7 linked regions of the Cricetulus griseus genome follow. The protein of the gene in region 7 interacts with the protein of the main gene of each other region in a pairwise test. Links are inferred from orthologs where the notes say so. Each region holds a gene or a part of one and is shown on either strand. Other genes may lie near its edges.

Region 1 (4,288 bases), on a different chromosome or scaffold from region 7:
GCAATCCACAGACCACCCATTAACACTGTTTCCTCTCCTAGGCATAAAGTTTTAAACTTAGATAGACAAAGATATGAAGCACCAAATATGAATGCATTTAAGAGGGTTTCAGAATGGAAAATGAAGCATTTATGATTCATTTCTCCTCAAGATAAGTAAACTCTCTCCTTCCTTCTGATACCGTGTGATGAAGGGTTCAGCCCTCATTACCTCCTCTGCCTGTAAAAGAAAATCACATTGGTAAGGGGCATGAACGTATGCCCACAGCCAAATGAGTTTCCCAGCTACCAATGTCACATGAACTACACATAATATTAGAATGTTCCTGAGCTTTCATCGGAGAACAACTTGTGTGGTAGAGCAGCAGAGGAGGGAATGCAGGGAAGAAAGCAGGGTGGCTGTTCTGTGTGCCTGACAGGCATGGCTGTAGTGCTCTGAGCTGTGGACCAGCAGCAGATTTGTGCTGAAGAGCAGGTGGTACCCCTGTAGCCTGCTTTCTGCTCCTTTTCTTTGAAGGAGCTAAGGGCCTAGTGTAGATTAATCATAACCCTTGATAGCTCTGCTAAATCTCACTCTCTAGAACTTCTAACAAATGAAGTTTCTTTGATCAGAACTAGTTATCCTTTGCTAGCAAGGTCCCACAGGCATGAGTCCCATTAATTACAGTGCACAACAGGCCCAGGTGCCTCTTAGTCATATACTTGGGGGAAAAGGGGGATTCTGATTTACTAAGGAAGTCCGGATTTCATGACTGAAAGCATACAGAGGTATGCTAAAGGTAACCGTCCTAATTATCTAATTTGAAGTCTGTGTTTTTTATATCACACACCTAAAAGATGAAAAAGGAATTCTTCTTAGGAAGCTAAGCTCCATTATTTCCAATGTTTGTGACATTATTATTAAGTGTAAAGGTTCAGCTATCTTTATTCAAAATAAATTGTAACCAAGACAGCAGATACCAACATTTGGCACAAGGAATATTATACTGCTTGTCTTCACAAAGCGTTTTTGTTGTGTTGACATTTTAATGTAGCACCCAGAGGCCAATTAATAACTGAAACTCTTTCATTCTGTTTGGCCTTGTGTATAAAAGAAGTTTGATATTTTCTATTCCATCCTCATATCTTCTTTTAAAGAACACTAACCCCTTTTCTCTTGCAAATGGAATCTGTTCCATTCTATGCATTTAAAAAAAATGTAGGCAAACAATCACTTGGTCGTCACCACGGTGCCAAGCACCTAAAAAGCAGAAAGCACTGAGCAGTCTCTGCTCTTGATCCAAGAGAGTACGTCTGGGGAGAGTTATGTGTTCGTGGCTAAGAGACACTTCACAAGTTGCTCACAGCCCATCAGCACTCATAACTAGTTTTAGATTGGCATGCAAATTGTTCTGAGGGAAATTCTTATTGCCTCTGAGACCCTGCCATTCTGAGTTATTTGACAGTTTAAGGGAAATCATAATTTTCAAAAAAGACATAAATAATAGCCTGTGCAGTGTGCTGTGCAGAAATAAGTAGAACCGTTTCATTTAAACTCTGGTGAGCTTTTAATTGCCTGGATTGCATTGTGAGAAGGCCTGACGGTTGATTGCATCCATTATGTTCCCTTGTTCTGTGTCATTCATCCGCACAGTCTTAGCTTCAGTAGTTAACACAACAAAGTAACCACAACTCCACAACACACAGGGGCTTAAAAAATAATCACAATAATGAAAGATGCGCAGCACTTAGGCACAGTGTTTTTTCTTTCTTTCCTTCTCTCTCTCTCTCTCTCTCTCTCTCTCTCTCTCTCTCTCTCTCTCTTTTTACACCAATGTATTATTTGGACTGATCACACAGAATGAATGGGAAACATTCTTTCCCTTTCAGAAGATTTACAGAGGACAATTTGGGGAAAAGGAGAAGGGGCTCTGTCAGAAGGGCTTTTGGAAGAGAGGATGCTAAAATTGGGACTGCAGGTTTCGCAGCTGGGAGCAATGACATAGATTAAAAGAATTTGGCCAACACAGCCTTTCGATTGCCAAGAGTACCAAACAAAAGATTTTCTCTCCTCCTGCCCATCTTCATCCCACTCCCAGTCACTCCCCCCAACCCAGATTGGAAAACTGGATTGGGCCTAAAAGCTTGTTTCTCTCTGTTCACTGGCCCAGAGCACCCCTACAGGCTGCAGCCCCCTAAGGGAAAACAATGCAAATAGATGTCCCCAAATCTCTGGCACTAGAGCTGCTTAACTCTGTTCTGCCCCTTCAACTCCCAACCCCCCTCCGTGTCCTTCCACCACCCTCCCCTTTTTGAGCAATGGAGCTGGGAACCAATTTGATTCCCTTTTTCTCCAATGCAGCTGCAAGGCTCAGAGATACTGACATTTCCCCACTCTTATCAGTTTAATTACAGTTACCATGGCAGCAAAGTGCTAGTGCTTGGCAAAGGCCAACAAGAGATTTGCAAGACTGGGTTCAATTTTGATGCAGCTCACATGCAAAATAAAAAAAAAATAAGAAACATACATACACTCTAACAAAGAATCCCCTTGCGGAGTTTATGATCCAACCTTTTGTGGCTGTGTCTTTGCAGCAACACAGGAATGGTTTTGCAAAGAATGTACCAGTATTTATGGCACCTAGCGAGATTAATTGGTGGAAAGCAGCAGTCTTTAAAAGCAGTAGACACAATAATATTTCGTGTCTTCAGCAACAGAAGAACTGGCAGGCTTTGGAGCTAGCCACGAGTGCCGAGCGCCCCGAGAAAGTGCATCTATGAAAGACTGTAACCTTACCAAAACTTTTCTCCTGTTTCTGCATGAGTTGTCTTAGGCGTGCCTGAGCCGCTGCAGCTTCGCATGGAGCACCAAGCCCACAGGCAGGAAGTAGAAGAGGGGAGTCACTTTTGGATTTGGGGCCCAAGCGTGGATCTGGTGAGCAGCGTACAGGGCCGAGGATCCACTATTGTGAGGCCACTTTGGGAGCTAGGGTCTAGTGGTGAGGGAGGCAGGCGGTGGGGGAAGGGACAAGGGAACGTGTAAAATGATGGCGAATGACAAAGCCACATGCTTCCCTAACTCTGCCCGTAATCCTAAAATCCCAGCGGCCCCTTTTAGCTTCCTGGTAACAAATGGATTTGATTAAACCGTCACACGCAGTGTTAGCATAGCATATCGTGTTCGGTATGAAAAAGATCATAAATCTGACTTGCGTTTCATAACAGCAATCTGAGTAGCCCCGATTAGAATGTGCTGAATCTCTAGACCTGTTAGGATGCAGGCACTTGAATCCAAGGAACCTGCCTCTACTGGACACTTGTCTCCTCTTTGCATGGTCCAACATAGTCACTTTTGCAACACACAGAAGCAGTGTTTTGTTATTAGAGCTGCCTTGGGTAGAAGCAGGGGTGTGGGCAAGAACAAGGTTGTAATTTCAACTCTTTCTTTGGGGAGGGCACGGATTTCACCAATCAGGCATGGAGAGGGCTGAGAAAACACCCGAGACTGACACCACTTCCCTTAGTCTGGAAGCATTACCCCCCCCCCAAAAAAAAAAAAACACCTTTGCAAACTGTCTCAACCCCTCTTCCGGAATAGGGTGTCTGGATGCCGCAGCTCCCAGTGAACTTTGTCTATTATGCTCTGGACTCCTACTTGAGATGTCACGCTGTAGCCGCACGCTCCCCCTCTTCCTCAGGCATCCTCATCTTCCGCCCCGCATCTATTTTGTGTCTCATCATACAAAATAATGATGCCTCCCACGATTTAAACAAAACAAACAAACAGAAATCGTCTCTGCAGACCTGCAGCCAGTAAAGTTGCAGCGGTGGTGGTGGTGGTGGTGATGGTTCGCGTGCAGCTTTACTTTATGCTTCATTGGGAGAGGATAGGGAAGAAGAAGAAGAAGAAGAAAACCACCCAACATCCGCACACGCACGCGCGCACCCGGAGACACACACAGCACAAATAAGCCGACGCGTGTGTACACAGCCTCTTACTTACCTTCTCAATTAAGCGATACAGGGGAGGGTGTTCAGTGAGCACAGAGGCTGCTTGGTAGCGCTTCTCCTTGGGAAAGGTCAAAAAGAAACATTGTTTGAAAAAAAAAGGGGGGGTGGATCTCTATTTTTTTTTTTTTTAAGTTTAAAATAATGAGGTCCTCCAGGATCCGCCAAGTACCAGTGTGGACTGCATGCGAGCCACAGGTGTCCTTCTTTTAGGCAACTGCCGTCCGGGGGATGTCTCTCTTGGTCCTGGCTCCAGACAACTTACCCCAGCAGCGTGCGAGCAGCCTGAGCTGAAGGAAGCC
Region 2 (4,121 bases), on a different chromosome or scaffold from region 7:
CAGAATTGTGGTTCTGGGTCCACACAGAGCTTTTTTCCATCTTTTAGCTCCTGTTCAATAAAGTTCTTGTAGCGCTCAGGATCATTTTCAGCCAAATCGTCGAGCATATTCCAGAACTGGGAAATCTGGGTGAGAAGGCCCTTTGAGGATGCCCTCATGATTGGTGATGAGATAGGCCTCCAGAACCTGTGGAAAGACACGACTTGAGAAAATACATGTCTGTGTGGCTATGGCCTTACTTCCTCTTTCAGGAGAGGAGGGGGCTTTTGTTTTGGGGAAGCTCTTTACTGTTCTTACTTCCTATGTCTAAAAGATTGTGTAACCACTCTGCTTTACCTTGGCTCTTCTACAGCCTGTAAGTCTAACCACTTCCTAAATTCCCACCTTGTACCTGTACCTCTCTCTGGCCTTCACAAACACAGTGGGAACAGAAAGGTCTTTTTAAGTCTTGTTTTTCCTATTGATATTGTTCCAATAGTTGAATATTGGCTGACTTGGTGTCTCCCAGCCCTGAAATTATGAGTGGTGTGTGTGTATGTATGTGTGTAAGAGGGAGAGGGGAGGGAGAAAGAAAGAAACAGAGGCACATTAGTCCTTAGTATAATAACTAAAAGTAGGAACACTGAGCTGGGCAGTGGTGCATACCTTTAATGCCAGCACTCTGGAGGCAGAGGCAGGTGGATCTATGTACGTTCGAGGCCAGACTGGTATACAGAGCAAGTTCCAGGACAGGAAGGGTTACATATTGAGACCTTGTCTCAAAAAAACTGGGAGTGGGGGGTGTGAGGTGTAGGGTCACTGGAGCCAGTATGCTTAAGTTCTTCCTAACTACAGGCAGCTATATTGCATTGAGCAAATAATGTATATATATACACCTATTCTTCTCAAAATGAAGACGAGGCCTAAGAACGCCAATACTTAAAGCGGGAACACTTGATAAATATTATGTACGAGTAGTATTCTAAGATCGTATCATCACTCTCCTCCCGCAACGGAGAAGTGTCCCAAACGGTCCACAAAAATATTTAAAAAAGAGATTTAGAGTCTTTAAATCGTGCATTAAGATTAGATTTAATAAACAAAGAATACACAACTTATCCCAGTGTGGGGAAACCCACCTCTTCAGTCAGTGTCTAGACAAACCGCGACTCCCGTTACCATGGTAACCAGGTCCGGTACAGCATCTAACTGTGTCCGGGGAGTGCAAAGTAGAACGCCGGCTCCATATCCCGTTCCGGATCTTTTCTCCAGCGCCGGACTGGCTCCTCAGAGGGGCCGTCCCGCTCCCTCTCAGGAGGGTGCCGGCTTCCTTCCTGCACCTGTCAGCTTCCCCGGAGACCCGTGAGCCCGCTCACAGGGAGTCTCCCGTGGGGAGGAAGCGTTTCTCGGGGGCACGACTTCCGGCCCGGAAGGAAGCCGCCGCCTTTTCTCCCACCCCGCCACGCGAAGCTGCGGCGCACGGTATGGGTGTGTTTGTGTGTGTTTGTGTGGGGAGGGCGTTTCGAGGGAAGGCTGCCGGGAGCGCCGAGGCCGCGGCGGGGCAGGGAGCCCGCTGACAGACATGGGGGTGTTTTTTCCGACTTCCCCTTGGAAACCTCCAGCTTCCCCTCAGGCACCCTAGACACTTCCCGGGTCCCAACGGAAGGCCACGTCCATGCCCTGTGTCCCCATTCTGTCCCGGGAGTGAAACCGAGCCGCCGGGCGCTGTCCCAGCCCAGCGAGAGCGGGGAATGCCCGGGCCCGCCCGCAGGCCGCGTTCCGCGCCTGCGCCCGCTCTGGCCTTGGTCCCGGAGAGAGAGCCGCCTGGCGGGCTCGGCTGGGGGAAGGCAGCCGTAGCCTGGGCCTCGGGTGAGGGCACTGTAACCGGTGGGAAGGCTGCGTTTTCACGAAGGACTCGGGTGAAGCTGCAGAGCTGCCTTTCAGCCCTGACTCCTTGGCTTCCTGGGTCGGAGGAGATCTTGTAATGGAGTGGTTCTTCGTCTCACACTAACAAGATGCCTGATTTCCTCAGGATCGAGGGGTGAGTGAGCATCCGGACGGTGGCACCAAGCCCCTCGTAGCTACACATGTGAATATCTTTGTCTTCTGGGTTTCGGAAAGTTCCAAACATTGTAGGAAACAAAATGTCCTGAATAGAGATATTTAGGTCATTAATTTTTTTTTTTTTAGAACTCAGTATTTATTGCTGTTGACATATGTGATGTTGATACCCGCAGATCTAGATGTTTGCTTAGTTGCAAACTGATTTTGGGGAGTTTGAGATTTGATTTCTAACTTGGATACTGATATACATCCTTTGCCTGGGTCTATTCGCCCTGGGGCCGAGGGACTTAAAGGATCTTGACTTTCAAAATAGGAGTGGGGATAGAGTCTAAATTCGGGAATCCCTACAGGTTCAAATAACAGCCAACTGAAAATGTTTGGGTAATCAGATTGCATCTGTACTTATCATGTACAGACCTTTTCCCCCCTTTGTCATTATTTCTGATCTGCATAGTAACATTTTTACATAAGAGTTGCATAGTTTTAGGTGTTAATAAGTAAGCTAGATACCCTACCCACCCTAAGTGTGGAAGTGCATGTATGTTGTCTCTGAATGTGGGAGGTGGAGGCAAGAGGATCAGGAGGATCAAGGCTCACTGAGGCTAGGGGAGACCCTGTCTCAATAAAAAGTCATAATTTAAAACACACAGGAGTGTAGTTTATATGCAAATACTATGGTATTCTAAACGAGAGACGGGTACCCTAGGATTATTGTGTGTGTGTGTGTGTGTGTGTGTGTGTGTGTGTGTGTGCATGTATATGTTACTGGGGGACTGAATCCAGGATGGCTCTTGTGCTTAGGGAAATGCTCTTAGCATTGAACTATATCCCCAGCCCACACTTGGATTTTGTTAACTTTAGGGGCCCTAGAACCAATCCCCCCCATGGATCTTGAGGGACTACTTGACTCTTAAAACATAGAAAATTGTGAGGACTAAATAAAATGGTGCTCATAGGAGCAATTTTTGTGCAGCCTTCTGCAATTTTAAGGACTTTTTACTGTACATATCCTCTTCATACTTAACGTTCACTGAAGCCTTTAATGCTGAAAGGAAAATTCTCCCCTATGTTCTGTGTCTTCTAAGTTCAGTGATTCCCCCCTTTCCTTTTGTTTCTTTATAATTTAATAAAAATAAATTTATTACATACTATTGATTCATTTCAGATTAAAGAATGTCTCGGATTCCACTGGGGAAAGTCCTCCTGAGGAATGTCATCCGGCATACAGATGCTCACAATAAGGTAGGCAGTACAATCTAGTCACTTATCAATATCTCTTGAGGGCATACAGTAAACTATGACTTATGTTGGGAGAGAGCAAAGATGTATAAGAAGCAATCATAGTTTGAAATGTACTATATCATGAAGATAGTTACAAAATGTTTTAGAGCACTAAGGAAGGAATAAAGAAATCTGCCTTGGGAAATTAGAAAGATTTCACTGAATAAATGGTATTTGAGTTGCTGATATTTGAACTGATTCTTGATGAATAAAGTTTATTGGATGCATTGTTTTTGACTGAGATCACCATGCACTAATACAAGGCAAAATATCAGGGGTTGGTGATGTATTTTATTGGTAATGCCTCATATATGCAAAGTCCTTCATTCCATGCCCACCCCTCAAGCATTAATCACTCAGGGAAAGAAATTATATGCATCTAGAAAACATAAGATACAGGAATAGTGACCGAAGATAAGGCCCAAGTCTCACATTAGAGTTGTTTTTATGAGATTTAAGAGGTAAACTTTCTCTTTGGGTCAGTAAAGAAGTCATCATGGAGGAGTGGAACCATACATGTGTCATACCTGTAAGTGTTGTTTTACACCATGAGAGCATGAGGTTGTATGATTGCCATACGTTCAAAGACAAAAATGTATGATTAGACAGATGATTTTGTCATTGTGGTAGGAAATAGAAGGTGGAGAGAAGTACTGGGGAGGATGATTAGGTGACTGACGTGCTAGGTGAGTGGTGCTGAGGTTTGGATGGAAGCATAGCAGGGGCAAAGAGGTACTCAATAGGATGTGACAAGAGTAGAGTCCAGAATACCATCTTCTGTGACTGGATAGGTAGTA
Region 3 (3,500 bases), on a different chromosome or scaffold from region 7:
GGGCCCTTTTCTTTTCTGGTGGGCTGTTGGCCTTGGTGGTCTCCTCCCCACCAGCCTCATGTCCAGCCTCCTGGCCCTTTTTGCGCTTCTTCGTCTTTTGGACCTTCAGGTTTTCTGATTTCAGCTCTTTTTTCTCTTTCTTCCTATTCTTCTGTCGTTCTTCCTTCCTTTCTCTTTTATTCTTCTTTGCCTCTACTTGTTCTTCTGTGGTGCCATTTGTTTGGGCAGATGGAACCTTAGTGGGGATCTCTGCAGATGACTTAGCCACATGGCTGGGTGGCTGCTGATCTTGCTCCTTATGAAGTAAAAACAAGAATCATCTAAGTATCTGGTCTGGCCACACCTATTGTCCATACCGTACTATTTATGACTGTGACACCAACAGCTAAAATTTAGCAATACAAGTAAAGCACGCCAAAGCTCACATCCTGATCTGGAACCCGTTTTCATGATATTAAAGGGTGAAATGAAGCCAGTCTGCAATTTTGGCTCACTGTCACCCTTTATTTAGATGAAGACAGAATAGCCAGATGCAGGATGTCATACTGTGGAACACTAGTTGAAGATGCGTTACATGTGTTTATGCTGTGGAATATTTGTTTAATGATGCAAAGATGTGTTGCATTCTTTTATGTTGCATTTGTTTAACTCTGTGAAGCTGTGTTGCTTTGCCTGCTTAAAACACCTGATTGATCTAATAAAGACCTGGATGGCCAAAAGCAAGGCAGAAAAGGGATAGGTGGGGCTGCCAGAAAGAGAATAAATAAGAGAAATGAGAAGAGAAGAGGACACAAGGAGCCAACCACTCAGCCACCCAGACAGACAGACACAGAAGAAAAGACAGACAGAAAGAAAAGACATACAGAAATAGAAAAAGGTAAAAGCCCAAGGCAAAGGGTAGACAGGCTAATTTAAGAAGAGCTGACTAGAAACAAGCCAAGCTAAGGCAAGGCATTTATAAATAGTAAGTCTCTGGTGTTTATTTGGGAGCTGGGTAGTGGGCCCCAAAGAGCAAAGAAACAAAAACAAAAACAAAAACAAACAAAAAAAACTACAGTGCTAGGGAGCTGTGTCTGCTTCATCTGTAGGACAGGGCATGTGTAACCCTCCGTGTACAGCAGACACAGGAAAGGTATGCAGTGTGTAGTGCAGTGGACACAAGGCTGGTAAGTGCTGTGTAAATGGAACACAGACAAAGGCAGTCACATCATCCTTCTCCAGATGAGATGGCCATCCTTAGGATGGTCACAGACAGCTACCAGTGTAAAGAATGGGAAGTAAAGTCTGCTAGGGTTTGAGTGCCTCTTGCAGGGGCAGACATTGCAGGATGGCTTCGGATTTGATGGAACCAGAAGAGGCAGAACCTCAAGACAGAGGGCCTATGGTAGTTAGGTCATCAGGAATGCTGCCCTCACCTTGTTAGCTTCCTGCCAACCATGTCACCACTTCCAAAAAGGCTCCCATCACAGCACTACCTGTGTCTGCCAGAAGCTAAACAGATGAAACCACCTCATCTTAGACTTCCAACCTCCAAAGTTTGAGCCAGCCAAGCCTCTTTCCTTCACAAAGAGCCCAGCCTGAGGTTGGTGTAGCCCAGAAATCCAAGGCACTGCATGCACTGGCTGAAACAGACTTTCTCTAGTAAGAAAGGGCAACAGGTTCCATGCTAACAGTCCCCTTTCTGCTATATTCCCACTATGCTGATCTCTCAAGATATAGGAGAACAGTTCACTGAACTGCCTGTAAGTTGTGGGCCTCTGCAGAGGGAGGGATAAGGCTGCCCTAGGTGCTGACCAGCCTGGGTTGAGGCATTCAAAAGCATGACAGCAAGTTCCACTCCTTGGTCACAACCAAATGATATGGAACAAGTTACCCAGTCCTCTCTGCAATGCCAAAATGAAGGCAAACCAGACTTCACCTGGTGTACTAACTCAGTCCCCTGGGAGGGCAGCACTGGGAAGCAGACTAACTGTTGAGGATTTCTCAGAAGCTGACAAGGCTCCCAGGGAAAAGAAGCTTAATGTGAATGCAGAAACAGACCCAGGAGGAGGAATGGGAAACACCCTTTACCCTTTCCCTACGACTGTCTTCTTCTGGTAAGTTATTATAATATATTAGCCAGCTTCCCATTGCCATAACGAACACCTGAGGTGACTAGCTTAGAAAACATTTAGCTGATGATTTTGAAGGTTCCTGTCCAAGACTGAAAAGCTGTGGGTCTCAGGCAGGGAAGTAGCAAGGTAAACCACTTGCTTGTCATAAATCTGAAAGCAAAGCGAACAAGGAGCTGAGGTCTCAACATCCCATCAAAGGCATGTCCTCAATGTCCTAACTTCCTCCCACCAGGCCTCACTTGCTAAAAGCTCCACACCTCCCAATAGTGTCAGAAGCTGACGAGGAGACTTCAACACATGGGCCTTTGGGGACATTCAATACTAGTCTTGCTGGTTAGAATTTTAGAATTTAATGCTAATGTAAATAACTTGCTGCACAAGACCAGTCAGAGCATACTCCTGCTTTCAAACCACTGAACATAGTTCCCAAACAGGATGTACATGGGTGCTGTAATTAACAATAGAACCAACAACTTGTATGAAGAACAGCAAGCCAAGTTCTGTTCCTATGGTTCACACCTAGGGGCTCTCTACCCAATTACTTTCAATAGTCGGTTAATGGTTCAAATGCTCTCCCTGTAGCAGAAGCAGGCCCAGGCTGACTGACCACCCATTAAATACCCACAGTATAGCTACAACATGCAGGGAGGTGGTCTGGGGCCCCACACACTCTTGGCTGAAAGATGTGTTGCCCTCGGCCTGCTTAAATTTCTCTCACAGCACCAATCCACTTCCGAGATATTTGAGGTCTACAATAAGTAAGGAATAACTAAGAAGTGTATAGTAGCACAGATGTTTTCGATTAGAACACTGAGGATCCAAGGCTAAGCTAAATAATGTGCATACTCCTGCTTTCAAACCACTGAACATAGTTCCCAAACAGGATGTACATGGGTGCTGTACATTGATCAAACACAGTGGAGTCCAGTCAGTCAGACATCAAATCCTGGGTCACTCCCATTTACCCAGCCCGACCGCTGTGCCAATCATTCTACAAAAACTTGTCCCACTGCCCAGCATGCTGAATGCTGAAGGCTGAATGCTGTCCTGCACACTGTCCAGGTGCTCCTACCTCATTCCTGCCCATCAAAGAGAGAGCATGGAGGCTCTCTGGAAATGCCATCTCAACCACCATACACAGCACCCCATTCCATTATTCCCAGTTGTCTATCAGACTGTAATTGCAAGGCAGAGTGGACTCACACTGCTGGACGCTTCAGAGAAGATGTTCCACACCTGCTCCAGAATAGCATCACTGTGCACTTTCAGGCTGTTCCTCATCCAGTTCTGTAGATATAAAGAGAAAGCCGTTGTCGCCTCTGACAGGTCACTGATGGGCCACACCTCAATTTGGGAACAGCATTTAAATCCATACCTGAAATTTTG
Region 4 (3,500 bases), on a different chromosome or scaffold from region 7:
AGTAGAACCTGAAGTGGTAGGAGAAAGTGATTCAGAAGTAGAAGGAGATGCCTGGCGCATGGAACGAGAAGATAGCAGCGAAGAAGAAGAGGAAGAAATTGATGATGAGGTAAAAGGAATAATATGGAATTCTTTCCCCCAGGATACAAGAAAAAAATTGAGAACAGTGCTGATTTGTTGAGGCTATAAATGTACAAAATTTGCTACTTCTGTCTGAACTCTGATTGTGATTCCTGTTTGTTGGGGTTGAAACTGAAAATGAGGCCAGGCAGTGGTGGCACACACCTTTAACCCCCAGTACTAATGAGGCAGAGGCAGGCAGATCTCTTTGACCATGATGAATAAGCCTTTCAAACAAATGTCCATTCAGAGACACTTTTCTGTGAATTCGAGACCAGCCTGGTCTATAAGAGCTAGTTCCAGGACAGCCTCCAAAGCCACAGAGAAACCTTGTCTCGAAAAAGCAAATAAATAAATTAATTAATTAAGTAAGTAAGTAAAAATAAAGACTGAAGATGAAATCATGCTGAATTATGCTTAACCGTGTCAAAATTTCTTGAACCTGTTGAAGACAAAATCAAAGCTATGCTGAGGGCTCAGTAGTAGGACTAGACTTGCTATGCACAAAGCCCTGAATTTGGTCATTATCACCAAGAAAACAAGCTTGACGCACAGGCCATTTGAATAACTGGCTAAGCTGTATGCCTTGATATAGGAAATAGAGCGGCGCCGTGGCATGATGCGTCAGCGAGCACAGGAGAGGAAAAATGAAGAGATGGAAGTCATGGAATTAGAAGATGAAGGGCGCTCTGGGGAGGAGTCGGAGTCAGAGTCTGAATATGAGGAGTACACAGACAGTGAAGATGAAATGGAGCCTCGACTTAAGCCTGTCTTCATTAGAAAGTAAGTGTCTGCCACACCTGCTAAGCCAGGCTGTGTTCCCAGCCACTCAGTAGACTGAGGTAAGAGGATTGCTAGTTCAAGGCCACTCTGAGCTACAAAATTAGCTAATTCTCACAAAGGAGACTAGGGATATTGGTCAGTGATAAATGCTTGCTTAGTATGCACAAGGGCCTAGGTTCAATCCCCAGCAGAGGAAAAGGGAACAATTAGTCAAACCAGGACAGAATCAGGCTGGAGATATGGCTCAGAGGTTAAGTGCACTGGCTGCTCTTCCAGAGGTCCTGAGTTCAATTCCCAGCAACCACAAGGTGGTTTACAACCATCTGTAATGAGATCCGATGCCCTCCTCTGGCCTGCAGGGATACATGCAGGCAGAACACTGTATACATAATAAATAATAAATTTTTTAAAAAAGGACAGAATCCACATGATTAAGTTCCAGTCTGACAATAAAAGGTTCTGAATCCCACTTTTTCCTGTAAAGGAAGTCTTCTTTCCAGTGCCCTATCCCTATAGCAAAAGTGCTGAGAAGAAGCCAGATGTTTGCAGATCTGCAACAAAAGGTGTTGTTTTTAACCAAGTCTCTATCGTTCTATTTTATCAGTAAAGACTTGGGAGCCAGATGCTGGAGTGAAAACCCACTTGCTCAGAGAGGCAGAGAAAGCACCCAGCTGCTTCCTTCTCTGTTTTTCCCCTATCCTGTCTGAAACAAAAATTCCTCCAACTGGATGTCCCTCCCTTCTACTTCTTGTGCCTTTCTCTCCAACCTCCCAACTTTCCCTCACTCTCTATGGTTACTTCCAGTCAACTAGTTGCTTGTTCTTGACCTATGGTTGATTTTATTTAAATAACACAATCTCATGGTTCATGGTGTGATCACATAATCCTGAAACATAAAGGTAATCCGGGTGTGTCTATGTTTGTGTTTTGAGATGCTCTGGCTATGCTGCCTGATTCACTGTGAGGCCTAGACTGTCTCAGACTTGTGATCCTCTTGCCTCAGAATCTTAAGTGCTGGGCTTACAAAATCAATTTTTGTTGAGGTTTTGTTTTTGATTTAGTGATACTAGAGATGAAGCCCATGCATATGCTAGGAAAGTGCTTTAACACATTGCCAGGGAAAATCATGTTTTAAACACAAAATTAAGCTTATAAAACAAATTTCTTTATTTCCTAATGCTTAGGAATCCTATTTTACAGTCAGCCCAATAGGATTCTTGTTAAATCCTATTGGAGTCAGTGATAAATGATTAAGGGAAGTTTGATGCTGTAAAGACCTGAGATGAAGCTAGCTTAATCTCCAGTTCCCATATGGTGAAGGAGAAAAGCAATTCCCAAAAGTCCTCTGAGCTTCACCATCATGTACACATACCATACATTCCTATACATAGTACACTCAAAATATTAATATGGAGAGATGGCTCAGAGATTAATAGTTCTGTTAGGCAGTGGTGGCGCACGCCTGTAATCCCAGCACTTGGGAGGCAGAGGCAGGTGGATCTCTATGAGTTTAAGGCCAGCCTGGTCTACAGAGTGAGTTCCAGGATAGCCATAGAAACTTTGTCTCGAAAAAAGAGAGATTAATAGTTCTTGCTGCTCTTCTAAAAGACCTGGGTTCAATATCCAAGAGCCATACAGTGACTCATAACTGTATGTGACTCCAATTTCATGGGTTTCAGAACCAGAAGAGGTTCTGGCCTCTATGGATATCAGGCAGATAACTCAGTATACAGACATGCATGTAGACAAGGCATCCAAACACATGTTTTTTGTGTTTTGGGTTTTTTTTTTTTTGTTTTTTTGGTTTTTTGGTTTTTTTTTGGGGGGGGACGTGGTTTCAAGACAGCTTCTGTGTGTAACAGTCCTTACTGTCCTGTAATTTGCTTTGTAGACCAGGCTGGCCTCAAACTCACTGAGATCCACCTGTCTCTGCCTCCTAAGTGCAGATTAAAGGTGTACATGAAATTTTTTAAAGTTTTTTTTTTTTTTTTTTGTATGGGAGAGGGTAATTGAGACAGGGTTTTCTCTATGTAGTCCTAGCTGTCCTGGAACATGTATCATAGACCAGGATAGCCTCATAGTTTTTTGTGGTTTTTTTTTTTTTTTTGGTTTTTCGAGACAGGGTTTCTCTGTGTAGCTTTGGAGTCTACTCTGGAGACCGGGCTGGCCTGGAACTCACAGAGATCCGCCTGCCTCTGCCTCCCAAGTGCTGGGATTAAAGGCGTGTGCCACCACTGCCCTGCTATTTTTTTTTTTGTAATAATGATAATAAAATAAAACAGCAGAAGATACGACTAAGTAGTAAAGCATTTGCCTCTTGTATCAAATCCAGGGTTCAAATCCTATTACCAGAAGAGGGAAAAAAAGTCATGCTGTATTTAGGGATAGAAATAAAGCTCAGGGGGCTGGAGAGATGGCTCAGAGGTTAAGAGCACTGGCTGCTCTTCCAGAGATCCTGAGTTCTATTCCCAGCAACCACATGGTGACACACAACCATTTGTAATTCTACCTGGTGTCCTCTTCTGGCCTGGGCAGAACACTGTATACATAATAAATAAATTAAAAAGAAAAAGAAATAACAGCTCAGTTGGTAGATT
Region 5 (4,032 bases), about 170 Mb from region 7:
TTTACTTTGCATAATCCTGTCTCTTAGGTAAACTCTTGTTTTTGAGAAAAGATTTCATGTAGCTCAGGCTGGCTTTTTTTGGGGGGGGTTTCCTTTCTTTTTGGGGGGTTTTTCAAAACAACGTTTCTCTGTCTCAATTTGGAGGCTGTCCTGGAACTAGCTCTTGTAGACCAGGCTGGTCTCGAACTCACAGATATCCATCAGGCTGGCTTTGAACCTGATTCATGTACACAATGCTGGTTCAAACCCCTGCTTCCACCTTGTAATTGCCGGAATTACAGGTATATACTACCACACCCAGTGGTGTGAAGATATTAAATACTGTACCTAAAGTCACTTGCCTATTTAGTAGCAAAGCCAGTATTTTAACTTGGCCTTTAAGCTATACCCATAACTATCCACTCTACTGTGTATGTTAGAGTTCTCAACAGAAAAGCAGGATCACCTTTCTCCTTGAGGCACCAAGGTATGAAATTGTATTTTTGTCTTCCCTGGGCTGGGGCTTGCTCCTCACCTGTTCATACTGTTTTGTTTCTCAGCTACCTCAGAGAAGGCCTCAGGCCTGTGACAAAGAGAAGATCCAGGTCAGAGAGTGAAGAGAAACCTTTTAGCAAAATAGCTGTTTCCAAATGTCCTCTTGGGATGGCATAACCTCACCACCCCTACCCCATTCCATAGCTAAGATGTTACCACACCTAGAAGCTAGAAATTATCCTACCAGTGGCCCTCCTTCTGCAGAGAACGGACATGGTTCTTGCAGAGCACAAAAGATATCTCAGCCTTCACTTTCTCTCCCTCTTCAATAGGGTCAACAATGAGGAAGTCCCCTGTAAGTGACAAAAGATAAAGGCATTCCCATGTGAAGGAGAAAATCAAGAATCAAGGTCATGGTTCTGTACTGTACAGGGATGCCTCTAACCTCTTTTGATCCAGATGTTCTTTCGGTATTTGGAGGGCATGCTCACCAGGAAGCGCTGCCCTTGTGCCGTCTCTACCTCATGCAGATTGTTGCCGGGAGTCCTCAGGACCTGGTGCAGGAAAGATCAAGAATTAGGCACATCACCAGTTAGATCAAGCACACACTGACCTGCACTGAGCCCTTCCCACATCCCAGGGGTCCGGTGGGCGTAGAGAAAAGCTGAGACCCATGCTCTCACCTTCACTATCTGCTGTTGGTCTGAGGGCACCATGTGCTCTCCCAGCACCTCCTGCACCACGTGTTTTCTCTTGGTGGCCTGAGACATGCTGGGTTCTGTCCAGGGTTGTTAGGACGCAGACAACGTCAGCTCTTCCAGAGTTATGTGGATGGCAGTCTTAGAAGCCAGGACTGCTCTCAGGAGAAGCAGCCTTATAAGAGAAGTGCCACCTTGCCCTGTTAAAAACAAGAGCTTTACAGGACTGGCGACTTGCTGCTCTTGTAGAGAATCTAGGTATGGTTCCCAGCACTCACAGAAGCTACAACTGACCCTACCTCCAACACCCTCATTTTGAGACATACATGCAGGTAAAAACACTGATAAACATAAAAAAAAAAATCACTAAAAAACAAGGCACGTGTTTAGCCAGATGCTGGTGTATGCCTTTATTCCTAGCACTTGGTATGCAGAGGCATGCAGATATTTGTTGCGTTCTAGGTCAGCCTGGTCTACATAGTGAAACCCTGTCTCAAAAATGAAGCAAACATGACGTTTAAGGGCCGGAGAGATGTCTCAGGACCCAGCACCCACATCAGTTGGTTCACAACCATCTCTAACTCCAATTCTAGGGGAATCCAATGCCCTCTTCTGGCCACCAAGGACACCTGTAACACCCACACACAGTAAAAGAAACCAGGAAACATGTCTTATAGTCTTACTTGGAAGAAAGGGGGATGGCTCAAGCCTTAAATCTCAAGACTCTAATCCCAAACCACAGAGGTAGACGAAAGCATATGGAGGCCAGTCTGGTCTACGTAGCGAGATATCCTCTCAATAACTAACAAAAAAAATGTAAATAAGTACTGACGTGACGATGAAACCATACGCACCTCCCAGGCCGATCATTCTGACAACCTTTTGTTTGTTTTTTCCGAAACAGGATTTCTCTGTGTAGCTTTGGAGCCTATCCTGGAACTAGCTCTTGTAGACCAGGGTGGTCTCGAACTCACAGAGATCTGACTACATCTGCCTCCCGAGTGCTGGGATTAAATGCTTACGCCACCACCGCCCGGGCTGACAACGTCTTTGGGGAAGTTTGAGTAAACTACTTTCCTCCACATGCTTTAACACCCCCAAGTGTAGGTCAGCCATACAACAGATGCTCGTCCTCCTAACACTCATGGTGTAGACTGACTCGGCCACCACCGCAGCGCTTCAAGCCGAAAAACCCTTCGAGAAAAGAGCCGCCCACAGCACTCACCCGCTCGGCGTTACACAAGCAAGCTACGTTTTCCAGGTAGACGCTGAACGCAGCTCGTCTACGACTCACTTCAAGACGGAGTCAACAAAAGCAAAGAAATGCGACTGGCAGGTGGTCACGACGGTCGCGCCGGTTTGGACGCCTGGCCTCAGACCACCGGTGTTCCCAGCTGCCGTCAGCCGGCTTCAGATAGACCTGACTCTGAGGAACCCGCGAGAATTGCACTTCCGGGGCTCTCAGTAGCCCTCCGGATGCCCCGCCCCTTCTTTGTCCGTTCCTTTAGTCTTCCCTCGACCAAGTCAGGCCACCTAAGTCTTTAAGTTCCAGGTGCTGGGCAAGAAAAAGATAACAGTATTCTCCTCGGAGGCCTCGGTCTCATAGATGGGAAGCGGGGCCGGAGAAACACGACCATAGAAAGCAGCGCGGCTTCCTGTGAGGGACCGGAAAACAGCGACCTCTGTGGGCTCCGCAGTTAGCGGTTGCGCCTCAACTCTATGGCTCTCTGTGGCTAGACGTGCCCAATTCGGGTATTTTTTTTTTAAAGGCGGCTCCTGACACGACCCGGAAGCGGAAGTTGAAGAACGTTCTAGCAACTTGAGGTATCGGCTGGAGCTGCCGAGTGGCGGGAGGAGCCGTTACGAGAGCCGGAGCTGCCGGTGAGCGTGAGCGGCGAAGTAAGGCTCCGGCTAGGCGGCGGAGGCGGGAGGGAGAGGAGCGCCCGTGGCTGAGGCGCGTCTCTGCAGCGGACCAGCCTGGCCTTGCGGGAGGGGCGGTGCGCGGAGCGTGGGAGCCGCGGCGCGTGCGAGCCGCGGCGCGTGGAGGAGGCGGGGCGGCGCGTCCGGGGCGGGGCCTGGGAGCCGCGAGGCGTGGGCTCCGGCGGGCTGCGGGAGCCGGTGCGCGGCGCCTGTTGGCCTGTGGAGGGCGGCGAGGGTAACGAGCCCCTCTTTTTGCTGCTATTTCTACCACGTGGTAGCTCCGGTCGGGGTCAGTGTTTGCCTGGCCAAGGTCACCAAGAGTGACAGCTTCAGGGCGGGCCCTGGCTGCTGAGGCTGTGAGTCTTTCTCTACGTGCGCCACTTGTTAGTGCAAGCTCATTACCAAATCCCAGGGCCCACAGAAAGTGGAGATTTCAGGATGTAATAGCGGGGGAAAGACTTTCCCTGGCCCCCAATTTTCTCAGGTGTGAGATGAGGGGGAATCGAGGAAGCAGCCACAATAGCTGACCTAGGAGGTTGCCCTTGGGAGTTGTGGTCTTCAGCCCTAACCTGCCTTTTTTTGGGATTCCCAGGTTAAACCTGATCAAGATGACAACCTCCCAAAAGCACCGTGACTTCGTGGCAGAGCCCATGGGGGAAAAGCCAGTGGGGAGCCTGGCCGGGATTGGTGAAGTCCTGGGCAAGAAGCTGGAGGAAAGGGGCTTTGACAAGGTGTGGGGTGGCCACAGATGCCAGGGAGGGGTAGGAGTGAAAGTTGGCAACAGATGATTCCAAGCAAAAAAATTGGGAGTTAGGAAAAGTAGGGGTACGGGGAGGGCACGGACAGTGGTAGATAATTTGAAGTGGTTTGGGGGCATCTGGGGAGGCAAAGTCATTTTTGTTGTTGTTTTGGAGACAGGATCTCTGTCTCACAAGTGCTG
Region 6 (4,272 bases), on a different chromosome or scaffold from region 7:
TGCTCTCTGGAGGACGGCTCAGGAGCGGCTTGGAAGGAAGGAGCAAGGAGGTAGCCTGGCTAGCCTAGAACTCACTCAGTGGACCAAGCTGGCCTCAAACTCAGAAATCCATCTGCCTCTGCCTCCCAAGTGGTGGGATTAAAGGAGTGTGTCACTACACCTCACTTTTTTTTTCCAAGATGACTTCTTTTTTTTTTTTTTTTTTTTTTTTTTTTTTTTTTTTTTTTGGTTTTTCGAGACAGGGTTTCTCTGTGGCTTTGGTTGGAGGCTGTCCTGGAACTAGCTCTTGTAGACCAGGCTGGTCTCGAACTCACAGAGATCCGCCTGCCTCTGCCTCCCGAGTGCTGGGATTAAAGGCGTGCACCACCAACGCCCGGCTCCAAGATGACTTCTTAACGTTGAGATAGTCAAATGTGGGCCAGACTTAAGTCAGCTAGCCTCAACTCTCTATGTAGCTGAGTATGACCCTGAACTTCTGACCCAACCAAGGGTTGGGACTACAGGCATGAAACAGTTTGCCAGGTTTATATGCTGGAGGTTGGACCCAGGGTGCATCATATGCACATTAGGCAAGAATTCTACCAACTGAGCCGCATCCCCAGTCCCCTTCAAACAAGTTTTTTTTCTTTCTCTTTTCTTTCCTTTTCTTCATCTTTTGGTTTTTTTGAGACAGGGTTTCTCTGTGTAGTCCTGGCTGTCCAGGAAATTTCTCTGTAGACCAGGTTGCCTGCCTCTGCCCTGAGTACTGGGATCAAAGGTGTCCACCTCCACCACCTGGCTCAAACAAGCATTTCTTGAATGCTTACTATGGCAGGGACCATCGAGATATGACTGCTCCTTGGGCATCCATGTAGCTCCACAGAGAAATCCACACCATTCCCAACGTCCAAGCCAAACTAAAACTGGAGACTCATCTTTGAACTAGAAGAGGAAAACCCCTCACTTTCCTGAAGGTTCCCTCTCAGAAGCAGTCTCACTTTTAAGAACATGACTCACAGGAGCTGAAGTCTCTCCACCCAGGCACCTAGGTCAATTTCTGGCTGCCACACTCTAATCAGCACTTGAATTAAACAAGAATCAACTCCATCTGCCACAGCCCAGGAATTGGATGTCACCTGGCACTCCGGCTTCAAGGACGAGGGTGGCTTTGTATCAGATGTCCCTCTCTGTCTTCAAATAAGGACTGTATGAAAATGCTCCCGACCATCTGACTCTTTCCTTGCCAGTACCAGCATGGCCCAGTACCCTAGGGGATACGGGGCAGGGCATGGCCAGGCAGGGAAATTAAGAACTACCTCTGGAGCTGGAGAGATGGCTCTGTGATTAAGAACACTAGCTGGTCTTCCAGAGGTCCTGGGTTCAATTCCCAGCAACCACATGATGGCTCACAACTATCTGTAATGAAATCTGGTGCCCTCTTCTGACCTGCAGGAATACATGTAGGCAGAACACATCTAAAAAACAAAAACACCCCTGAGCCTGTGAGAGTTGTAATCCAATTCCCTGGGTTTGTGCAGCAGTTCCCACGGAATCTCTTTTTCAGCCAACAGAGACATGGCGTCCAGTGAGTGCCATACACATTTAACAATGGCTGAAACAGCCTTGCTGGGAGGTCAAGACTTCGATACTTAATGTATTTTTCATTAATGCAAAAAAGCTGTTTCAAGACATCCCAGTCTTCTTTGTCCTAGTTTAAGAGGAACGACAACCTCAGAGAAAATTGTTCTGGAGAAAAGCCAAAGCATGGCAGACATGCCTCCCTGCTTTAGAATAGTTTTCCAGAAAAAAGTCTCCATCAGTCTCCCGCCCCCCCCCCCCGCCCCAGCCCATGAACTGGAATGCCATAGAGGCCCGCTGTCCCTGATGCAAATCCCACAGCTGGGAAAACTATGCCCCCACCTGAGCTCCCCTTCCCAGCTGTGTAACTTGAAGCACAGGTTACTTCTCTAAGCCTCAGCCTTCTCTAACTTCCTCAGTTGGAAGACAGACCCAACTGCATCTACTTCGTGAGATTAGACCGGAGACTTTTAGGAGAGAATGCTTAGCCCTGCCACAGTTAAGAAGTGCTTTGCTCCAGAGGAAACTAGTAATTAAGGAGTCCCTATAAGTCCCATGTGAGCCATTACGCATGCACTTATCCATCTCCTAAGTGTTTATGGATACCTTTGAAAGCTAACTACTCTCGCAACATCTTGGCGGTGGAAGGTGTGTAGGACAGAGCGAGTCCTCCAGGCCAAAGGAGACACCCCGAGCTCTCGAAGGGCAGTCCCCGGCTTCACACCCTTGGAGAGGCCTCTGAACGTCAGTGGCATCCCTCCTAGGGACCAGTAGCAGCAGACCACCCTGGTACGGGGGAGTTGGTATCGGGACTGATATTCACCCCCGCCAAGGCGCTCAGCTTTTGTCCGTGAGAAATAAATTTGCACATCTGAGGCCCAGAGCCCGAGTGGCCTCGCGCTGGCCTTCCGAGCGACGTGCGGCCTGCTCAGGAGAAGCCAGGGCCGTGGGGACTTGGGGCGGACACAGGAGCCGGTCGATGGGAGGGTGGGCGGCGGGGACCTCTCCCCAGATCGCGGCTGCCCCGCAAAGCCAGGCCTCCCCAGTTCGCAGCGGCGGCGCGATCGTCCCTGCTCTAGCGGCCCAGCCCACCGCACCAGGCATCAGCCGTCCGGAACTCACCTGCCGTCGCAACCGCGCCGCCTGTCAGTCAAGCGCGCCCACCGCGACGCCGCGCAGAGTCTTGTGGCTCTGCCTGTCGTGCCCCGCCTCCCTACCGTCAGCTGTCCAATCGAGAGAGCCTATGCCAAGGACGGGGCGGGGTCACATGGCGCTGCCTACTAGGGGGCGGGACCGTGCGTGCTGGGGGCGTGGCCGTGCGAGTACTGAGTGCCCATGCATGCTGGGAGTAGGGGGAGTGGCCGTGCTGCTGGGGCGTGGCCACGTGGTTCGAAGACTGTCTTGCTGGTGGAGGGCACAGTCTCGGCGCTGGGGCGTGGCCACGCGGCTGTACCTGCCCTTGCTTTTTGGAGTTGGGAGCTGGTGGCTATGCTGCTGGGGCGCGGCCTGGACACCCGGAGGCGGGTCTGCATGCAGCCGGCCCTCTGACGACACTTCTGCGCGCCGGAAGAGAAAGAGGTTCCCGGCACTACGCGGCAGGTAACGCCGCTCCTAAGATCTGGTGCCGCTATGCGGATCACTGGGAAGACTTTCCGCCGGCGGCGGGCTGACTCGGAGTCGGAGGAAGATGAGCAGGAATCAGAGGAGGTTCGGTACGTGTTTGGCATGACCTCCACGGCCCAGGAAGAGGGAAACAGCCTTGGGACTGGCTACCGGCCGGCACTGCGCTGACACCACTGACCGGGAGCCAGGGTTGTTGTCTTTCAGAGGCTCCTGCTGATAAGGCCACATTTCCCCGGTCCCGAAGCTCGGAAAGGTGCTCCGGGGTCGCATGGGTCTGACTGCCGGTGATCCACAGTGCCAGGGACTCGGCCGAGAGACACGGATGTCCCCGGAACTGAGTTAAGCTTTGAGTTCCGCAGAGGATCTCTCAGCCTGTGCATTGCTTTTTATTCATTTCCCCCCAGGTTAAAACTTGAAGAAACCCGAGAGGTGCAGAACTTAAGGAAGAGGCCAAACGGGGTGAGGTGGGTACCATGGGGGTGGGGGTGGCGTCATTTATTGATGACACAGATACTTCCAGCTAGGGTCTCAGTTACAAATATCTCCTTCGACATAGTTCTTTCTCTAGACATACACCTTGCACTGGTCGAAGAGGGGACCAGTTTTTTTTCAAATGTGTAACTGCCACATGCCCTGAGCCTGGTGGTATCAGAGTCTACTCCAGGTCACTAATTGCTTTTTGGTTTTTCCAGACAGGGTTTCTCTGTATTGCTTTGGAGCCTGTCCTGGAACTTGCTCTGTAGACTAGGCTGGCCTCGAGCTCACAGAGATCCGCCTGCCTCTGCCTCCTGAGTGCTGGGATTAAAGGCATGAGCCATCACCACCACCCTGTTGCTAATTGGAGTTGTTTTTTTTGTTTTGCTTTGTTTTTCAAGATTTTATTTATTACTTATACAGTGTTCTGCCTGCATGTATACTTGCACACCATTGCAGATGGTTATGAGCCACCATGTGGTTGCTGGGAATTGAACTCAGGACCTGTGGAAGAGCAGCCAGTACTTTTAATCTCTGAGCCATCTCTCCAGCCCTAATTGGAGTTTTTAATTGCACGGATGAATTGTGAATGACAACGTGTTGACAGATAAGAGTTTA
Region 7 (4,004 bases):
TATCCCACCCAAGGCAGAAGCAAAACCAAACAAATAGCAGCTTCCTGGAAATTGAATTTCTGTTATCCAGATGTCAAAGATGTAATACCCCAATTACACAAACTATTGCCAGTGAAGCATGCCAGCGAATATGCAATGTAAATGGGGTGAGCACCGAGCGACAAAACTGCGCAGTCAGCATCTGGCTCTGTGACTGAGTGATAATTAGCACTGTGTGTAGACACTAATAAACATTTATGTCTGAAATTACAACTTTTAGCAATGTTAATAAGGGATATATTGGCAATCTGTAAAATAAAAGGTCTTGAATGAAAAGAATGTCATACATTAAGCGATGGCAGACATTTCCCCTTCTTGCACAATCTCTTCCCCCAACCCTGCCCCTGAAATTGCAAATGGCCACACCATGCTGTTTTGCTGAGAAATTAATTGACATAGGAACCTACCTAAAAAAATGGGTTGTGTCTCTTTGGTCTCCCCATTAACATCATTGCTGAATTCTGAGATCTTATACACCTCATGGTGATAATCTGGCACGAGAAAATAACCGAAAATTAGAATTTTAATGATTTCAAGAAAGAGGAATAAGCAATTCAAGACTCCCGTTCTCTATATGTGTAACTTACAGGTATATTTTCAAGACTCTCACAGAGATTGTAGTCAACAGAAACCACTCAAACTTGGCTCTCTGTGAAGTACACAAACTTTAAACATTACTTTGACTTTACAGACAGCTATGCTTGGTTAGTTTTCACAGTAAAGTTTGCCCTCAGATACCAATTATCAGGTTTCTTTTCTCTGAGACAGCAAAGACATTTGTAAGAAAAAGAAAAATCTTGCCGATTTGAGGGCCAGGGGAGTCTCCCAAATTTATTTCCACTGCCCATTTTTGAGAGCATCTCACTAGTAGTTTGCTTCAAAACTACCTCTTGACTCAGTTTACTCAGAGCATCTAAGCTTCAAAGTAAGCACATTTTTTTCCAAAAAGATACTGATGTGTTATTTAAAAAAAAAAAAAGAGGATACTTCGAAAAGAAACAAGATTTTTACCTTTCACATAAGTTAATCTTTTGCATTAAACTACTGTACTTTATTGAACACAAAATAGTTTTAGCATTCCTTCAAAAATTTTTTTGAAAAGCACCTGCACAGCAGAATCAAACTCATCTTAAAAAAAAGAAGGAAGAACTTGCTATATCAGATTTTCAAATACAACATCTTAAAATTTCCTGTGGAAGCTACAGAACTTTGGTAACTTTACAAAGTGGAATCACTCGGGTATGAAAAGAGAGGTCTCTTTCCATCAACTATCCAAGCTTTCACAGGACAATGTGACAAAACTGCCCTCTCTTTTAAGACAGAGTAGTCAGTTCCCGGAGGTCATAGACAGAAAAGCAGCCCCTAGTCCTGAATGGAGCACATTGTATCAACAGGGCCATTACACATGGAGAGATTTACAAAGTACAAAAACCGAGTAATCAACATCCTTGTTGGTGGGGTGGGGTATACCAAGAAAGAAGAGCCAAATATTTTGAATACATACACTATTTCAGGCCTCTATCATTAAACAGTACAAAACTAAATTAGGGGAAACACAGATGAGCAGATCCTCAAAATGTCTATAATTAAACCATTTCCAGACTAACCAAAAGTAGGCTTCATAGAATCCTTCTTTCAGCTTAGCTGAGTTTGAGAAACTTGATGGCTTGAAATCACCCTCCAATATCCATTTGTTTACACGTGAATTCTCAGGTCCTTGGAACAATCACGTGGTTCTCTACTCTAATGCCAATGCTAGATAAAAATCACTCAGGGAAAGTGGACAGGTTCTGTGATTTGGCTTTGACCTCAAGTTGATTCATAGATATTTAAAGAAGGTGGATTGAAACTAAGTATTAGGGCCCGTGACATTACCATGGGGGTGGAGGGATGTCACCCCTTTCGTTTATTAAGGTGACACAAGACATTTTGACAGGTGTATTCCTTATCTTGAGTTGTCATCATTTTTTAAAAAAAGACTCAGATCAGGAAGATCAGTTCGAATAAGTAACAGAACCCAGGAGACACTATTCAACTTTCTCCTCCCCGGACAAAAAAAAAAAAAAAAAAAAGCATAAAGAGTGTGCTGTACACCTGTTAGTCGGCAGGACCTAGCTGGGATTTTCTTTCTTTCTTTCTTGTAATGACACTTTGGCTGACTGGTAGGCGATCTAGTCTTAAAACACCTTTCCACCCAAACCACTCAACTAGAAAAGATGCTGTATGTCAACAATTTCTGTTTTCAGCTTGGATCCCTAATGAGCTGATTCTTCTTAGAAAGAACAATGATCATCTTTTTCCCCCTCCCTTCTCTTTGCGGGGTGGAAAAATGAAAACAAAAACAAATCTCAGTATATGGTCGGCCTGCCGGCCAGGCAAACCGTCAGCCACCTCAGCCCAGCGGCGGCCACGGCGGCGGCACCCCCGAGAGGGCTCGGCTCCCCGGTGTCATTGTTTGCTAATTTCCTGACGTGCCCTCCGACTTGTTTACCTTCAATAACACCCTGTGGGTCCCCTCAGGCACAACTTTCCCCGCGGCGGGGCGTGTACGGCCCGCGGGGCCCCAGGTTCGGGCGGGGATGAGGGGGTCGTGGCGGGCGCGCCCCCGGCGTGGAGCCCGCGGGCGGCCGGGGCGCGCGGGGCCGAGTGCGCGGAGCGCGGCGCCGGCTTCCCGCCGCTGTCCCCGGGCCGGCCGCTTACCTCGGCTCACCAGTTTGAAGCTCTGGGATTTCCTGCTTCTTTTCCTCTCGGAGAACTCCATGGTGCGGGCAAGGTGGCGGCGCGGCAGGAGACTGAGGCGGCGGCTGAGGCGGGCTCGTGGCACCGCCGCGGAGCCGCCGGGACCAAGGTCCGCGTCTCGATCGGCGGGGGAGGCCGAGGGACGGGAGGAACCACCGCGAGCCCGGCCGGGGGCTGCGGGAGCGGGCTCCCGGGCGAAGTTGTCCCCTCGCGCGGCGCCGCCTTCTCGGTGTCTTAGGCGCCCCCTTGGTGTCCCCTCATGCCGCCTCGCTCTTTCCCGAACGCCGCCCGCCGCAGCCCAACTTTCCGCTGGGAGCGGGGCCGGGCGGGAGCGCGAAGCTGCAGGGTGCTCGCCGCGGCCCGCCTGGGCTCAGCCTGCGGACGCGGCCCGGGGGACGCGGCTAGCCGAGGGAGGGCGGCGGCGGCAGCGGCAGCGGGCGGCAGCGGCGGGTGCGGAGCGGCGGCCGGGGCGCTGACCGCCCCCGCGGGAGGAGGGGCCGCGCCGGCGGAGGGGCGGCGCCGCCGGGACCCGGGGGCCACCTGCTGGCGGAGCCCGGCCGCCGCCATCCCCCGGGGGCCGCCGCCACCACTGGCCTCGTCCACGCCGCGCCCCAACGAGGCACGGAGGCCGCAGCGCAGCGTCCGTGGTGGCCCGGGCTCACGGAGCTGCCCCCGGGCGAACACCGCGCTCTGCGGGGCCTCCCTCCGCCGCTCCGGGAGGCGAGCTTGCCTTTAGAAATAAGCCAGGGATCACAGCTCCTCAACCGCCAGCCTTCGCTCTGTCTGAGAGGCGGGCGGTGCCTGGGCCAGACACCGATTTTAGGCAACTTTTAGCAGGGGGTGCAGAACTTACCCATCCGCGTTTTACAAGCAAACGGGAAGAGATTCGAGAATGTGATGCTGAGAAGACTATGGGAAAGAGTGAAGTTCGATTCTTTACCCCCATCCTGAGAGCTGTAGGAGGAAGTTATATGCAAGGGGTCTGCTTGGAATGGGGCTTGGGGGAGGGGAGTACAAGGGGTGAGGAATACAAGGGGTGCAGGCTCGTAGGGAAATTGGTCATAGCAGGTGCAGGGGACTCTGCCACTTGACGCAGAGATACCAAGATAATTGACGTCCACAGATGGCCATCGGTAGTTTTATGTAATATTCTTCTTTGAGGAGCTAAGAGTGCACTCGCTGTAGGCGCCATTTCTTACAACATGTTTTAAGCGGGAATAAGAAAG

The links.
Region 1: the proteins of Bend7 (region 7) and Lmo3 interact in binary tests that used the Homo sapiens proteins (3 or more experiments, as listed by UniProt). The two-hybrid records come from large-scale screens. The link is inferred for Cricetulus griseus from reciprocal best matches to the Homo sapiens genes BEND7 and LMO3.
Region 2: the proteins of Bend7 (region 7) and Nkapd1 interact in binary tests that used the Homo sapiens proteins (3 or more experiments, as listed by UniProt). The two-hybrid records come from large-scale screens. The link is inferred for Cricetulus griseus from reciprocal best matches to the Homo sapiens genes BEND7 and NKAPD1.
Region 3: the proteins of Bend7 (region 7) and Lyar interact in binary tests that used the Homo sapiens proteins (3 or more experiments, as listed by UniProt). The two-hybrid records come from large-scale screens. The link is inferred for Cricetulus griseus from reciprocal best matches to the Homo sapiens genes BEND7 and LYAR.
Region 4: the proteins of Bend7 (region 7) and Mfap1 interact in binary tests that used the Homo sapiens proteins (3 or more experiments, as listed by UniProt). The two-hybrid records come from large-scale screens. The link is inferred for Cricetulus griseus from reciprocal best matches to the Homo sapiens genes BEND7 and MFAP1.
Region 5: the proteins of Bend7 (region 7) and Eif1ad interact in binary tests that used the Homo sapiens proteins (3 or more experiments, as listed by UniProt). The two-hybrid records come from large-scale screens. The link is inferred for Cricetulus griseus from reciprocal best matches to the Homo sapiens genes BEND7 and EIF1AD.
Region 6: the proteins of Bend7 (region 7) and Usp20 interact in binary tests that used the Homo sapiens proteins (3 or more experiments, as listed by UniProt). The two-hybrid records come from large-scale screens. The link is inferred for Cricetulus griseus from reciprocal best matches to the Homo sapiens genes BEND7 and USP20.

What each region holds. Positions count from the first base shown.
Region 1 is NC_048601.1:10,636,125-10,640,412, reverse strand, and holds the start of Lmo3 (LIM domain only protein 3), read right to left. Parts: upstream 2,801-4,288; coding exon 2,776-2,800; intron 1-2,775.
Region 2 is NC_048597.1:162,382,226-162,386,346, reverse strand, and holds the start of Nkapd1 (uncharacterized protein NKAPD1), read left to right. Parts: upstream 1-1,321; 5' UTR 1,322-1,461; intron 1,462-1,532; exon of another isoform or gene 1,533-2,020; intron 2,021-3,208; 5' UTR 3,209-3,216; coding exon 3,217-3,285; intron 3,286-4,121. Other genes in the region: Pih1d2 (PIH1 domain-containing protein 2), read right to left, coding at 1-158.
Region 3 is NW_023276807.1:107,180,002-107,183,501, reverse strand, and holds part of Lyar (cell growth-regulating nucleolar protein), read right to left. Parts: coding exon 3,490-3,500; intron 3,402-3,489; coding exon 3,318-3,401; intron 296-3,317; coding exon 1-295. UniProt on the Homo sapiens protein: Plays a role in the maintenance of the appropriate processing of 47S/45S pre-rRNA to 32S/30S pre-rRNAs and their subsequent processing to produce 18S and 28S rRNAs. Also acts at the level of transcription regulation.
Region 4 is NC_048599.1:56,944,767-56,948,266, forward strand, and holds part of Mfap1 (microfibrillar-associated protein 1), read left to right. Parts: coding exon 1-109; intron 110-715; coding exon 716-903; intron 904-3,500. UniProt on the Homo sapiens protein: Involved in pre-mRNA splicing as a component of the spliceosome.
Region 5 is NC_048596.1:53,963,713-53,967,744, forward strand, and holds the start of Eif1ad (probable RNA-binding protein EIF1AD), read right to left. Parts: upstream 2,801-4,032; 5' UTR 2,398-2,800; intron 1,975-2,397; 5' UTR 1,856-1,974; intron 1,373-1,855; 5' UTR 1,245-1,372; coding exon 1,158-1,244; intron 1,029-1,157; coding exon 920-1,028; intron 828-919; coding exon 719-827; intron 563-718; coding exon 515-562; intron 1-514. Other genes in the region: Banf1 (barrier-to-autointegration factor), read left to right, coding at 3,701-3,823.
Region 6 is NC_048599.1:142,696,758-142,701,029, reverse strand, and holds the start of Usp20 (ubiquitin carboxyl-terminal hydrolase 20), read right to left. Parts: upstream 2,801-4,272; 5' UTR 2,680-2,800; intron 2,376-2,679; exon of another isoform or gene 2,164-2,375; intron 1-2,163. Other genes in the region: CUNH9orf78 (telomere length and silencing protein 1 homolog), read left to right, coding at 3,187-3,269, 3,585-3,644.
Region 7 is NC_048596.1:221,924,520-221,928,523, reverse strand, and holds the start of Bend7 (BEN domain-containing protein 7), read right to left. Parts: upstream 2,801-4,004; coding exon 2,740-2,800; intron 531-2,739; coding exon 447-530; intron 1-446.